3 linked regions of the Danio rerio genome follow. The protein of the gene in region 3 interacts with the protein of the main gene of each other region in a biochemical or structural test. Links are inferred from orthologs where the notes say so. Each region holds a gene or a part of one and is shown on either strand. Other genes may lie near its edges.

Evidence for each region.
Region 1: the proteins of bcar1 (region 3) and crk form a complex in vitro, tested with the Homo sapiens proteins (2 studies listed by BioGRID, with this or other methods). The link is inferred for Danio rerio from reciprocal best matches to the Homo sapiens genes BCAR1 and CRK.
Region 2: the proteins of bcar1 (region 3) and crkl interact in a test that uses a peptide from one of them, tested with the Homo sapiens proteins (2 studies listed by BioGRID, with this or other methods). The link is inferred for Danio rerio from reciprocal best matches to the Homo sapiens genes BCAR1 and CRKL.

What each region holds. Positions count from the first base shown.
Region 1 is NC_133190.1:27,216,451-27,221,682, reverse strand, and holds the start of crk (adapter molecule crk), read right to left. Parts: upstream 3,443-5,232; 5' UTR 3,140-3,442; coding exon 2,920-3,139; intron 1,823-2,919; coding exon 1,245-1,822; intron 1-1,244. UniProt on the Homo sapiens protein: Involved in cell branching and adhesion mediated by BCAR1-CRK-RAPGEF1 signaling and activation of RAP1.
Region 2 is NC_133196.1:20,315,248-20,320,699, reverse strand, and holds the start of crkl (crk-like protein), read right to left. Parts: upstream 3,443-5,452; 5' UTR 3,158-3,442; coding exon 2,847-3,157; intron 643-2,846; coding exon 171-642; intron 1-170. UniProt on the Homo sapiens protein: May mediate the transduction of intracellular signals.
Region 3 is NC_133193.1:24,070,291-24,075,082, reverse strand, and holds part of bcar1 (breast cancer anti-estrogen resistance protein 1), read right to left. Parts: intron 4,001-4,792; coding exon 2,792-4,000; intron 2,029-2,791; coding exon 1,942-2,028; intron 1-1,941. UniProt on the Homo sapiens protein: Docking protein which plays a central coordinating role for tyrosine kinase-based signaling related to cell adhesion. Implicated in induction of cell migration and cell branching. Involved in the BCAR3-mediated inhibition of TGFB signaling.

The DNA of each region.
Region 1 (5,232 bases), on a different chromosome or scaffold from region 3:
AGGAATGTTTAAATCAAGTCAACTTTACTGCAATAAGCTATGACACGGTTCGAGGGCAAGCAATCAGAATGTAGAAGTTCACCGCTTGAGATGAGTCCAGAGAACACAGTCCTGTAAACTTTGATTCCGACCACAGTTGTTCCCAAGGGTTTTAGTATTGCAGTTGCAATGTTTTTTTTACAGGGACTTAAATACAAATTTTTTTTTTTAAAGTTACTGATGTGCATTAATTAATTTTATTTTATTTCGTACGGGAAATGCATGCTAACTAACGACAGTACAAAACCGTACTGCTGCTTCAGAATATTTCAGACATTTGGACACATATTGGATAAGTGGAGGAAAGCCACTGCACATACAACAACTGGATCTTCTGTAGTTAAATGAATTTACTAAAAAGCTGCGCAACATTTTCTTACTAAAATACACATTTTTATGTGGGAACGTAACTAATTTGCTGATATGCTGCAACGGCTCCTTTAAATACGGGGTTAATGTATCGATTTTTGACGCTCTCGCCGCTGGAACTGTGAAAGCCAGAGAGAACTCTGATGCTCTTGCGCCTTTGGTGTGAACACAAAGTTATTGAACAGAAATAGCCACATTATCTCAAAGACAAATTGGAAGTTAAAACATGTTAAATGTGGTATCTTTATTTGATTTTAGATGTAGCTGCATTTACCAAACAGATCATGAACTATGAGTAACTAGTAAATGGTGCTCCATTTGAAAGCTGGAGATATACTACTGACCACAGAGCTGGCTTTTACTCACAAAACGACGTGCATGAACATTGTGTTTAAATAATTGTGCAGCTCCAGTTTATATGAGCTTATAATCTTTTAAATAAGCATTTTTTTTCTTTCAAAAACTTAACACTTTGCTTCAGAAAATATTAAATAACCCACTGAGCAGTATGAATGACTTATAACACATTAATGTGCTTTTTTGAAGCAAACATTGTGTACATTTACTTGCAATTCAAAGCTAAGTCACATTAGTGTTTGTCAGGAATAGGACATATAGTAGTCCACATTTAAAGTAGATCAAATAAAGTTCTGACAATCATGGCAAGAATGGATGTTGTTAAATAGGACTATTTTAGTACAACTTAAGATGGAAGGTTTTGATCCACTTCAAATGCTGACTACTGGATACATCTAGAATAACTTGAAGGTTCATAAATGATGCAATATTTTCATTTTTATATTTATTAATATCTCAGAAAAGTTTACATTTGTTACCTCCAAAGCAAGAGCTGTCTTATCATAGGCATTGGGGACTCTCTTCTGAATCGCCCTGGCATAAACTGGGCCATTCTGTAGATTGGGTAAGGATGTGGGCTGGGCGTATTGGCCCGGTTCACCAAGCAGAGGTGGAGACTGAGTGCTGTGGCCGTCAGAGTTGCCGTGAGCACCGGACCCACTGACTGATACGCCAGGTGCACCTGATGTCGGTGAGGCAGGTCGGTACTTCTCCACATAGGGCACAGGGATCATGCCAACACGGCCTTCTGAATTCTGAGCATTCCACCATTGCTCCTCTGGCTTCTCCAGCACTCGAAGAACATCACCCTTTCGAAATGGAAGGTCCTCGTCGTCGTTGCCGGGAAAGTCGAAGAGAGCTCTGACGTACTCCTCTTCTAGCCTCGGAGGAGCTCCTCCTGTCCCCGCATTGACGCTGATGAAAGACGAGTGCTTGGATTTGCTAATGGGCTCAATGAGAGTGGTGGTGTCCAGGTAGTGGATTTTGTAGAACTCCAACAGGGCAGGTAAGGCATCAAATTCCTGATCTCCAATCCGGAACCGAGGAGGAGCAAGCCCTGCGGGATGACATTATGAGATGATGGATGGATAATCAAGATCTGCTTAAATTTAAAGGGGTAGCTCAGCAAAAAATTCAATTTTTTCACAATTACTCATCATAATGTTAACACGAAAAAAAGTTACTGAACATAGGAATTTGGTAGGCATTTTATTTCTAATATGGAGGTGTAAATGGCTACTTAATTACAACATTCTTCAAAATATCTTCTTTTGTGTTCAACAGAAAAGAGAAACTAATATAGGTTTAGAACTTTTATCGGGGTGTACATTTAAACTGAACTCTCTCTAATCCATGAAAATCTGATAAGTGTTGCAAAAACTACATAGTATAACAATGTAACATTTTATGGGTTCAACCTATGGGAAAAGCAGCAAAAAAGATTGGAAATTAAATATTGCTGATCATTTCTGCAAACAAAAAAAGTGAGTTTATGTTATAAGTGATTGACATGACCTATAATAATGCGTGTAATTCAAATGAATGACAGACACATAACTAATAAGATTGTATTTGTTATATAAAAAGTTGATAAGGTGAGACATGTATGTCGGAGTAAGAATGTAATGAAGCAGCGGTTTTAAAATAAGGGTGAAACTGAAATAAACGAGCATTTAGTCAAGATAAATATGCACAAATTAATATAAACAAACAAATAAACAAACCAAGAACACAAAATTATAAGACACGATTCAAACGAAGCAAAATGTAAGTAGATAAAATAAAGATACTTCAAAGAATCTGCTAACGTGTGAACAATTGAACAACTATGTTAAATAATGACACATATTGCAACTAAACGTTTCCTATATTATATTATAAAACGAATTTGTATACAATTTTCACATAACAAATCTGGCATCATACACGAAAGCATACAAATCATTTTACACCCGAGAATGATATTTGGGGCCCGTAGTGTACAAGACCGAACCCCTGGTTACACAGCACCCCAGAATGACGCGAGATTTTAGACTGAATATGCACAACTATTCGTAGTATAGAAGTTTCATCGAGCTGCTAAGCGCTTTGCTAAAGCAGTATTTATCCGTCCTGTCGTTAATAGTATTTAAATACATTTGTTCAAACGCTTACCTGGTCCTGACTGGCGATTGCTGCTGATGCTGTTTATTATGTAATGAGAGACTTTGGAGTTCTCCGACACAGACAGCACGTAGTCCCCGGGAATAGTGATCGAGTCCCGCACCAGGAACACTCCATGCCTCTGCCCTTGGAGCAGCGAAACCGCCTCTTGCCGGCTTAATCTCCCCCAATACCAGCTCCCTCGGTCCTCCGAATCAAAATTTCCGGCCATGACTAGCGCTAGAAAAAAGCCCAGGCTTCACAGGCCTTCCCTTCGCCTCTCCTTATCCGCAAGCAGCGTTCAACTCATGCAAAAACTTTACCGCGTTCCGTTGTTGAACACGTTTCGAATACGCGCAGCATTCGCACACTTTTCAACGCTTTTTGGCCCAATCGATTAACAAAACAATTGACGTCGGTATTCCAACGTGCATGGGACGCAAAAACCGCGGCTATTCACCCAGAACTTCTGATAATTGTCCAGTGTAAACCAAAACGTACATTGGAAGTTGTCACAAGGAAGTTCAAATATTTCAAATGGCGGACAAGGGAAACAATTTTTGACCTTATTTCCCGGAAGTGATGCAATAGCCGCCGACGCGGATGGTGTCTGTTGGTGGTCATATTGGTGCGGTCAATATTGAAAGTAAGGCCTTATCTTGTATCATTATGGAGTTTCAATCTTTTTTTAACACCAACCGTTTTTTTTATTTTTAATTTATGTAATCGTATTTCGGAATTGTTCATATGAACACAATTATAACTTCTGAATTTACATTAGTTATACTGATCAATTTGCATCGCATTAATCTTTGTATTAACCCAAATTCCGCTAAACATAACAGTTTTGTTAAATTCTAGTGAGAGGTTCAAGTGGCTGGTCCAAACAGGTTGTTAACCAGTCCAAGCGGGCTGACCCCGAAATTACCTGAGCAAACAAACATAGTGTAAGTGGTCTAACAGTTAGTCTACTAAATTTAACAAATTAGACATCCCTTTAAAACATAAGTTAAATATGATTTTCATCAACCATATTCGCTAATTTATTTAAAGGTCGAAAGTGCTGTAAATTATTACAAAAAAAAAAAAAAACGGAAGTGCGTAAACACTGTCCTTTACAAGCGAGTCCACAAAATTAGCAACCACTAGATGTCGACATCGATTACTAATAGTTTGTAGTCTTTCTACCAGTCTCACCCAGTTACAATTCAGCTCTCAAATGGTCTAATCAAACATATTGACGACCAACATTATTCGTCGCGTAACGCATAAATGAAGTGTATATTTGTTAAAGGTTTATTGGTTTTGATACCAACAACAGTCAAATACATTTTTATTTGTTTACAAATAATCATACACATATTGCTGTTCCGGTTTGTCATTCCTTGCATTTCCCTTGGTTCATTAATCATTGTGGGAGTACAGAAATACTGACCAAGTCATTGTTCACAGCTCTTCAGTGCACTTTTATCGATATATATTCCGTAATGGCACAACTTGACTAAAAGATATGGCTTTGAAACACAGCAGGAGATTTTGAGGCTACCTGTTGACCATGAAATGACATGATAAATTGAAACATATTGGTCACCTTTACAAAGGCTACTAAACCATTCATGTAGGCTAATAAACCGTAATTTGAAGATGGAGCTTAGAAAAACACTGATCATATAAGCCATAGTTCTCAAACTGGAATCCTGGATGGCCACCACTCTGCATAGTTTTGCTCCAACCCTAATCAAACACAGCTGATTCAACCAATCAAGGTGTTCAAGACTACCAGTGACTATGAAGCAGGTGTGAGTTGGAGGTGGATAAAGCTAAACTATGCAGAGCTGTGGCCCTCCAGAATTGAGTTTGAGACTACTGCTATAAGCTATTATGATGATGTTAACGCACTATAGTATTTTCACTTAAGTGAATTCAAAATAATGGGTAATTAATTAAGACAAATCTAATTTTAAAATGTCTAATTTTCATGAAGACAAATCTAATCAATACACTGTAATTTACAGGCATATTTGAACTATTTTGAATTGCGTATATGAATAATGTGAAATTTTAAGTAGGCACTAAATATAGGTATATACTAAACACTTTATCATTTTATTATCAGTGGATAAATAGAAATGAAATCTTAATATCATTTAGAGGTTAAAGGATCTATTCTAACAAACAGAGAAATCTCACATCTCTTTAAAATCCATGTCCAGCAGCAACAACAGAATATCAGTATTACAAACCAATGCGTAGCCAAACAACAATTCCATGCAGTGAGTCTTTTCTCTTTGGCTTCAGTCCTGCTGCGTTTCCCAACAATCATGT
Region 2 (5,452 bases), on a different chromosome or scaffold from region 3:
CAGTAGAAATCTATGCTGACTGAATAAACTTTGGTTTTTAGGAAGAAAAAAAATGAAGATATGTATTTAAATGCACATAAGGTTGCACATATTGCCTTTCATCAATCAAATACCTGAGTGGGTGTCAAATGCAAATACTGGCTTATGGGAGCGATCATTTAGCCACTTACCTCCAGTGCTAAAGCAGTTTTGTCATATGCGCATGGCACTCGTTTCTGGATCGCCTTCGCCAACACTGGCCCGTTCTGCACAGAAGGTAGCGGGTTGATGACAGCGCCGGGTGTACCAGGAGGAATGGGAGATGGAGTCTGAGGCTGGGCATAGGCGTGTGATGGCTCAGGGATGCCATAGCTATTGGAATTCCGTGAACCATGGATGGACTGACCAGGATGAGGCGAAGATCTCACAAGCTTTTCTACATAGGGAACAGGAATCATGCCTGTTCGGCCTTCTTTGTTCTTGGCACTCCACCACTGCTCCTCAGGCTTGTCCATAATTATTAGGATTTCACCCTTCTTGAAAGGAAGGTCTTCAGCATCGCTGCCAGTGAAGTCATAAAGAGTCCGCACATACTCCTGGTTCTCATCACCCAGTCCTCCAGATGGCTGAATAGGACCACTGGGCAGAGCAGTACTGGGGTACCTGTAGAACAACAATCAAATCATATTTAGGATCGACTTATAAACTAGAAAAGCAGCATTTAAGAGCCCATCTAAAAGCAAACACTTTAATCAGCTTCTCGCTAGTGGAGGCCTTTTGTAATATTTAATCATCTACTCGATGTGCACTTTCACATGCAGAGTAACTTCCTGTTATCTTAAAGGGAAATAACTTAATTTTTCTTTACTGCACATCTCAAAAAGAACATTTTATAAAGAACCAGAACAAAATTGAGGGGAACTACAGATGTTTAATTCATTACTCTCATTGTAAGAGTAATACTAAACAGCCACCAAACCTATGGCAAGCAGTTTTAACAGTTATAGCTTACACTTAGTGAATCAATTTATGCTAATGATTAATTCTGGGCCGATAAACTGTATTATATCGAGTCGCGAAAATTTATATCAATGATAAGCTCTGAAATTTTTTACTTGATATTGACCTAATTACACAGCAGAAATGTGCAACAATGGGTATCTAAAAGTGTGTTGGTATTGGAGATGCACCCAATGTTCGGCCACCAAAAATTTATCGGCCAAACATATATTATGCCATTTAATGGTCCCTCTAATTTTTGTGACTTCAGTCATTGTTGGCATACACTTTTACATCTGGAAGCATTAACAACTTGCATCGAAATATGAGCAATTTCAGCATTATAGATATAACATTTACAAAAACTCAAAACATAAATTCACAGAAAAAAGTATATTTTAACAATCAAAAACAACTAACCACCAAGTTAAGGGATCTAAAAAATATCAATCTGTAAACATTTTTCATACTTTAAATGAGGAAAATAAACATGCGTTATGGATATGACCAAAAAAGTCTGCAAGTTACAGTATACAGCATACTTTGAAGAAATTATGTGAATTAAAACAGCAAAACTCAAATGAAATAATGCTAATTAAAAGGATGAGAGTTGGCTCTCTATAGAACAAAAAAAATCTTGATTTTATTTTACATTTTTGTATTTATTGAAAAAAAAAGTTAAGTTAGTTATGGATGTGACGTCTCTCTGCTATGGATGTGACGGATGTAAAATTGCTACTTGTGCGACTTTGATAAATTAAATATAATTGATTTTTCAGTCCAGTAAAATACAAGCCTACACACACACACACACACACACACACACACACACACACACACACACACAAAAAAAGAATTTAGCTATTTTGGTAAAAAACATAAAAAAAATTCATAGCAAGGTTGACATTTGCATGGAATTGCTCATATTGTCAATATGGAAAATAATTATTGAGATTGCATTTTTGCCAACTAATGATACTTTTTGTCTAGCAAGTAAGCCAAAACTAATCAATACTTTTACATTACTATCAACTTATAAAGACTTGCAGATGACGTCCATTTTTGACAGATGTACAAAGTTTCCAAATGATTCATTCATTACAATCATAAGTTGTAATATTTAGCAAAATAATATTTAATCATAACTAAGCCGAATCTCTGTCAAATTATCTCTGATAATACGTTTTAATTACAACATCAAAATATAAAAAATTCTGCTTTATAATTGAATTGGCTATACAAAAAAACATGATTTTAATGGACTAGTAGAGTCAAATTTTTAGAGGACAGTCACTAAGAAAATTATGCTAGTAACAAACTGCTGTCTTTCCAGTTTTACTAGTTGTAACTAGCAATATTTATCTTGTAACAACTTTTTTTTACTTGCCACTTTGTGAAAAAAAAATTATTATGATAGCTCAAAAATAACCTTACTAGCAGACCACAGTAGTCAGACCACAATAAAACCATGCAATGTGTTACTTATTAGCTAAAATATAAATGCCAGTGTCAAATTAAAAGTAAAACTGAAAGCATTTCCAGAAACATCCAAAAAGCTTCAACTTGCAAAGATTTGAAATTTAGTTTCCGTTGCAATTACAGGTTACTTACACAATACACTACTGGGTATTGGAGTATTGTTGCAACAGAAAACGTACAAAATAGATGAGTAATAACTGGTAACTAATGCAACTTAAAAATATAGTCTAGCAAGTAACGATGACAAAAATGAGTCAATAAAAACAGATCCTGGTTACTTCGAATGTTTAAACGGCTTGCCACAGAAGAGAAGGGGAGGGAAAAGAACATTATTGAGAAGAGGGGTGGATGATGTGACGATGTCAAAAGTAAATGAAAAAAACTCTTACCTTGGTGCTGGTTCTATCAGGGTGGTCGTATCCAAATAATGTATTTTATAGAACTCCAAAAGGCCGGGTAGATTATCAAACTCTTGATCGCCTATCTTGAATCTCTTGCTTGGCAAAGAGTTGATGATATAGTGCGAAACTTTGGAGTTTTCGGACACTGAAAGTACATAATCACCAGGACAAGTGGACGAATCTCGCACTAAAAACATCCCGTGTCTCTGTCCCTGTAGCCTATTCTGCGCCTCCTGTCTCGAAACCGGCCCGAAATACCAGCTGGCTCGGTCTGAGGAGTCGAACCGTGCAGACGACATGTTTATTCGAAATACACTTGTAACTGACGAACACGGGTGAAAAAAAGCAAAACGAGCAATAAATTAAAACAACAAATGCTTATTCTTACAAGCGACCTAGCACTTCTAGACCCGTCAGTCCTACTGAACCGCAACCTGACGTTTGACCAGACAGGCTGCGACTAGCGTCAACCAACTTTGATGCATTGCTAAATTTTCCACCAACACAAGATTCGCGGCGGTTTTAGGAGAGGTGTAAATAACCCCAAAAGTTCAGAGCGAGCTCAAATACACGTATTTGGAATCAAAGTTCCCCTTTCCGCTCTCTCTTCCGTGAAAGTAGCTGCAGCTTATGAGACAATATAACGCGTTAGCTGAGCTAGCCGTCTTCAGTCACCGTCCGCTCAAGAGGAGCCAAACAGCGCCATAATATGTTACTAAATCGCTCAGCATGACAATTCAAGCCGACGTACGTCAGTTGCTTCCAAAAACGAGTTCTTCTTTGCGTTCTGCCCCAAAGCACGAAAGAGTTGTGTCTCTAATTTTGACTCCAAGCAGACTTAGAGAGCTGTAACAAAAATGGCGGCCCGCAACACGTCTTCACAAACAACGAATTGTGAAAAATCTAGAAACATAAAGTTTCCCGCCTTGCACGGCGCTCTTTTTTCTGACGCGCGCGTCTTTCACGCTACAGTACGAGCGAGAAGACCTTTCTTAAAAATTCTGTTTTCTATGTCCTCCTTTCCTTCTCGGGATTGGTGTAAAGGCTGCTTCAGCTCCCCACACCGTCCGAGAAATGGCGTCTGGAGGGCGGATCTGCGCGCGCTCACGGTCTGTCTGATCGCCCGTCACGAACGCCCCGAGCGCCTGTTACTTAAAAGGAAGAATGAAATGAGTGGCGTTCAGAGGGGCTGCATTTCAAACTCTCTGAACCGCGATAATGAGACACACAGGGCACTGACAGAGCCTAGCGTGAGTAAAAGCTTTAAAGTGCTGTATTTTTGCTTACATTTTGGAAGGCAAGCTTGGATCACATCCTATCTGGATACCTGTTGTTTACACGGGGAGTTATATATATTAGCTTCACATGTTCAACTTTTTGATAAATTTATGATATGTTGGTGCCTAATGAATTTAAACATTTATCGGTGGAAGAAACTGAAGAAAATGTGCACAAGCCGAATTTACTTTTCTAAATCAGTAAAACATTAAAGTTAAATTGCATTTTTTTTGTGTAAATTCAGTTAATAATTGAGGGTATTCATTCTACATCTCATTTTACTCATTCTAGCTACACCAGAATGTATTTAGTTGCAGTATAACCTATAGACCTTTTTAAATATAGAATTAAAAAAAGACCACCAACAACTATAATGGCAAAGTATTAGGACAACAGCAGCCTGCGTTTAAACATTGTTTGTATAAGAAATCCTTTGTACCCATTTCAGTGGGTTTATTTAACAAGAGTTTATCTTAATTAGCATTGTAATATTAAAACTACTGTATTTTGCATTATTTTTATTGTTTGTTTTATGGAATGTCTGCAGCAATATGGTGATGACCATAACAAATTTCCTGTCAAGGACAATAAAGTTAACTTTACTACCACTTATGTATATGAATTATCTTGGTGGGATTGTGCCTTTACTTGAGTAATTTACAGTCCTGAATATGTTAACATTGATAATTGCATTCCTATACAGATAATGATTATTAGAGGTGAAAAACATTCAGGATACATATGCAGAGACATAATAATACAGAACCTTAAATACAAAAATAAAACAGCAACTTTATGTAAGTCGTCTTACAAGCATTATGTCCAATACATTACATTTTCTTTAATAAAGAAGAGCTCTTACATGCAACCAGGAGCAGACTTAACCAAAAAGTGAGGTAAGCAACCGCTTAGGACCTCGAGAAAATAGGAGGCCCCGACCAATGCCAAGAAGCCTTTATTAATCATCCTAGCTATTTTCACATTTTTCTATAATATGTTGTAAAATCTGTCTGTATCCATTAAGATTTTAATATTATTACTTATTTTCTAAACCAGGGGCCCCAATGAATAGTGGAATTTTTCTCCAGTTCTGCACATGCAAATATTAAAATCTAATCACAAATCAAAACTAATTAACTAGTTTGTGAACTTGCTTTTTATTTGCGAATACATTCATTCATTTTCTTGTCGGCTTAGTCCCTTTATTAATCCGGGGTCACAACAGTGGAATGAACCGCCAACTTATCCAGCAAGTTTTTACGCAGCGGATGCCCTTCCAGCCACAACCTATCTCTGGGAAACATCCATACACATTC
Region 3 (4,792 bases):
AAACCACTGCAGAAATGTTCTAATCAACAGGCCCATGTCATATACAGTACAGATACTTAATAAATAACCTACTATAAATTAAAAGCATTATTGTATGCTGTGTTTTTTGCTTTCACAAGCTTTGGAGATGTAGCCTCAATTCCACTTTTAAATAATAGGTCACCTATAGCTTTCGTCATAAGCAACGGCTGTGTTCAAAATGACACCAATGTTTTCAAAATGCACTGCGAAGGGTGGTCAGTTGTAAACATGAATATCGCTAAAACTGAACTGTAAAAATACAATGAAAGTAAATAACACCTAAGAGTGATGACTTTAATACTTTTTTTATAATTAGAAGTTTAAATGTTCGAATGTTCTAAATGAATAGAGTATAGGGGGATAACTGGGAATAGAACAAAGCCTATTCTGGAGAATTAGAAGAGCTGTAGCTGCTTCTAACTACAGCTCCAGAGGTGTAGTTGCAAGTATACAAGTTTGCGACGCAGTTTGCGAAGGTTCGTTGGAACGATGGATTTGGGAAATGGCAAATCAACAAACTGTGTATAACGACACAACTTGCGACCTTAGTTGGCTAACGATGGTTTTTAGAAACACCCCCAGGATGGTAAAGTCACCAACCAAATAGGCTAAAGACAACGAGAGGAGTTATTTCTGAAGCAGGATTCCTCGTGACCATACCTCGAGAAGTACATGTTAAGATGCAATAATGTTAATTCTGATGCTGTGCTTAAAAATACTTCAGTAATATTAAGTACTATAATGTTTTTGAACTAAACAGTGAAGTACTCAAATAAAATTTTTGTGGTAGTTTTTATTTAACTTTTTATTTTTTAATTATTGTGGTACTTTTTTATTAAACATATAATATAACATTATGTATATATGTTTTTGCAATTCATTAATAAATAGTTATATATATATATATATATATATATATATATATATATATATATATATATATATATATATATATATATATATATATATATAAAAAAATATAAATACAATATAATGCATATTCCTAAATATTTCCCTTTACTATAAATAATGTAGTATTATAAATGTGTAACACCTAGTTTTATTGGATTTTTTTGTTTTTGGTCTAATACTTTGTTTCTGTTTGGTACATAATATAGTTTGCAGTAAATAACTGAATTAAACAATTATGCCTCATGTTTCATTGATAGTTTTATTAATCACTGAGGTATGACTGACTTAGATTTAAGTTGCTTCGATTTAAAAATTAAAATTGCAAAAATAGCTTAGATGTAGTTAATCTACTTTTGCCAAGTAGCTTTTAGCTTAGTTTGTGCCATTTCCCAGGCGGTAGCTTTTCGTGTAGTTAAGCTACATTTTAGGGAGAGTGGCTAATAGCTTAGGTCACTACAATTTTCAAGCAGCTTGCCCAACGCTGTAAATAAATTACATGTATACATACAAAAAAAGTATATTTAAATTCAAACAAAACAGTGTAAAAAATCCTGGTTGCCTTAAATTTTTAAGCTGAATCAAATGAGCCTTTTGAGTCCATTGAACTATTATGTTAAACTGACTTAAAACAGCTTTTTAACTTTTAAACTTTTTAATAAGTTTAATATTTTACAATAACCTAAAACATGCTGTCAGGACTAATTGATCATATAAATTTTACAGTGTAGTAATAATAAGTCAAAGCTTAGCAAAATTAGCATAAGGTTTTTAAAAATTAGTATAATGTAAAATTTAAGTGGCTTAACAAGTGAGCATCATTAAATATGTTATTTTTTCATTAAACTCTAAATCAGCTGTATTTATACCCCTTGGCATATTTATGGGCATTTACGTTTCAATTAATCATGTTCTAATATAGTTTAAGTGATTAAAAATGGAATGTCCTAACGTTATGAAAAATGATGTTGTGTATTATTATAACATAAAAGGTGTTATAGTCTCGCATACCTGTTGCTGTTCAAGCTGAGTCTTATTTTGTTTGATGCTCCCTTTTTCCAACAGCTGTCTTTGGTTCTTCTCAAACTCTTCTTTACCCTAAAATAGAAAAAAAAAATTACTTTATGAATGAATGGATACTGGGTCGACTAATTGTAAAGCTTTTTAAATCCAAAAAGGTAGGCCACAATTTGTTTTCTATCAAACGAGCAAAGGTTTTTGTTAATTATCTGTGCACTGATTCATATTAAAAAGATAAACCTTCACTATTAGTCACAACTGGAATGTTTCCACCATATTTTTCACAGTGTGTGCTGAAACGCTTCTTTTCACTCCACAGGGGGGCAGCATAACATTACAGTGAAACTCAACACAGCCATTTTTGGCTGTTGAAAAGATTACAGAAGTCAGACTCTTAATTAAACATACCTCCTCTGATTTTTAACCCAAGTGGAGGTTTCAAATGAAACAAAAATCAATAAAAAATAAATGTTTTAGGTGATGAAGTAATCTGCCTTGAGCATATAAAATAAATAAGTTTTTTTTTTTTTTTTAAAGGAAAATATCAGTTACACAGAAAGCCTGAAAGACTAAAAAATGCCCCTATGACTAAACTGTGGTCATTTATCTGCACAGTTTCCGTGGAAGTTTTGACACAATGACAGGCAACAGCTGGTGCTAAAGGAAGATGTATGTGGGCTTTAAGGAAAAGCAGGTCTGCACATGCAATCAAGGTGATTGATTAAAGGCCTGAGGCTTGACACAGTGGGGATTACAGGCAGAGCCCATATAAGGATGGCATGCAGACCAATGAGAACATACAACTAGAAAACCAATCTGAAGATTTTTGTATTTAGCATACCTGTAAATGGACATAGTCGTAGTCCTCCATCCAACCCTCCTCTGTTGTCTCATACGGCCTATCTGGAGCCTCCTCCTCGGCTGAGAATTTGGGAGGGGAGGGTAATGGACGGGACTGGATGTTGGCCCTTTCTGGTGTCCCTGACTGATAGGCTGAGATGTTGTTATTATTGGTCAGCGAGTCACCGGTATGAGGAACAGGTGGCAAAGGAAGCTGCTGCTGCTTGTTTGTCCGTTTGAAGAGCAAAGAGGCATTGCCATGGAGAAACGATGCTAACTGCTTGGTGTCATCAGGTACACCACGTGCACACATGATCAGCCGGTCCAGGTCATCCCCACCTGTGCCTGGCTGAGATGTCATCAGGGCTGCAGGGGACCAGCCCAAAGTGTCCAGTGCCTGACTGTACCTCACCAGACCTTGGAAGGCCTCCTCCATCTTCTGCACCTGCTTGCCAAGCTTGGTCTGCAGTGTGCGGTCGGTGGCCTGGGTGGCATTGGCTACAGCACCTCTAGCGAATTCCAGCAGGTCCCTGACTGCCACACGGATGCGGTCCACGGCCTGTCGGATGGCAGGGAGGTTGGACTCCATCTGAGTGGAGCTGCGCCAGTTTCCACTGATGAACGACATGAGGAGAGAAACGGAGCTCTCCACAGCCTGTTGATGACGGGACAGACGCTCCATAGCCTGGTCCAGATCCAGGAGCAGCAAGCGACCTGGCCCAGAAGATTCCCGCACTGGCACCATGTCTAAAGAGGACGTGGAGAGATTACTGCGAGTGCTTCCAGTGCTGGACGCTGACAGCCGTTTGAAGCTGACCGTGAGCTCCTCGGTGGCCGCTGCATCACGGACCACCTGTGGAGGCACATCATACACGTAATCGCCTGAATCTTCGCCTGCTGGGCGCTCACGAGGGAAGTCGTACACATCTGTGGGGTGGTGGTCCTGTGGGCCACCTTTTCGCAGGCTGGCAGGGATGTCGTAGATCTCCTGGCCCTCAGGCTGTCGTTTTCCTATTAGCTGAGGAGGAGGAACATCATAGACATCCTCTGGTATGGGAGGCTCGGGACCGCCAGGGATCTGAGACAGATAGGCTTGGTTCTGATTCTCCAGGCTCTTCATCTTGGCAAAATGAGGAGGAACGTCGTACGTTTCCTCCCTGATTGGACCATCTGGAACGTCTTTGCTGACAGATGGAGGAATGTCATATACCTGTAAAAAGAAATAATGTGTTTACCAAAACAAGCCTCCTATAATCATAACTGAAGTCATTAGTGATCTGATTGTTACATTTTTGGTTCATATAAGTTGAGTGTAAGCCATTTTAAAGGTTTCAAGGGAATTTAGGTGTTACACCCTTATAATATAAAAACATATATAAATGAACAAACGGATTGCATTTGAGATTTGCCAAAGAGTTGATCTTTAAAACTTCAATTATGCAACAGTTAAATATTATTTCAAGCATTAGATGTTAGCAAGCATTAATTAATGTAAAAATACAGTGGTCCCTCGCTATGATGCGGTTCACATTTTCGCAGCCTTGTAGTTTCACTGATGTTTTCAGTGTGTTCTGCGTCCTGATTGGTGCATTGTGTTCTGCACCCTATGACAGATGTATTTAGACCATTGTCAATCAATCTTCTCCATGCCGTGTCTCCTGTACAGTAAAGAATGCGTTCAGCTTGCCAAATGTACATAAATCTTTGATCACTAGCAGTGTGACTCTTAAGTGCTGTACTGTATGTTTGGAGTATTTCTCCCCAACAAACCCCACAAATGTTGACGAAACATTCAGCACCATCAAAGGCACTCAAAAGGAAGATGCTAACCATCGAACTAAAAGTTGGACTTCTGGACATGCTAAAACAAGGATAGAAGTTATGCGGCTGTAAGGCGCCATTACGGAATAAATGAAGTAACATAAAGAAGGAAAAAAGTAACATATGGACGACAGCAGAAATAAAGTTCAACAAGGATGCAAAAGGGTTGTAACTGTCCACA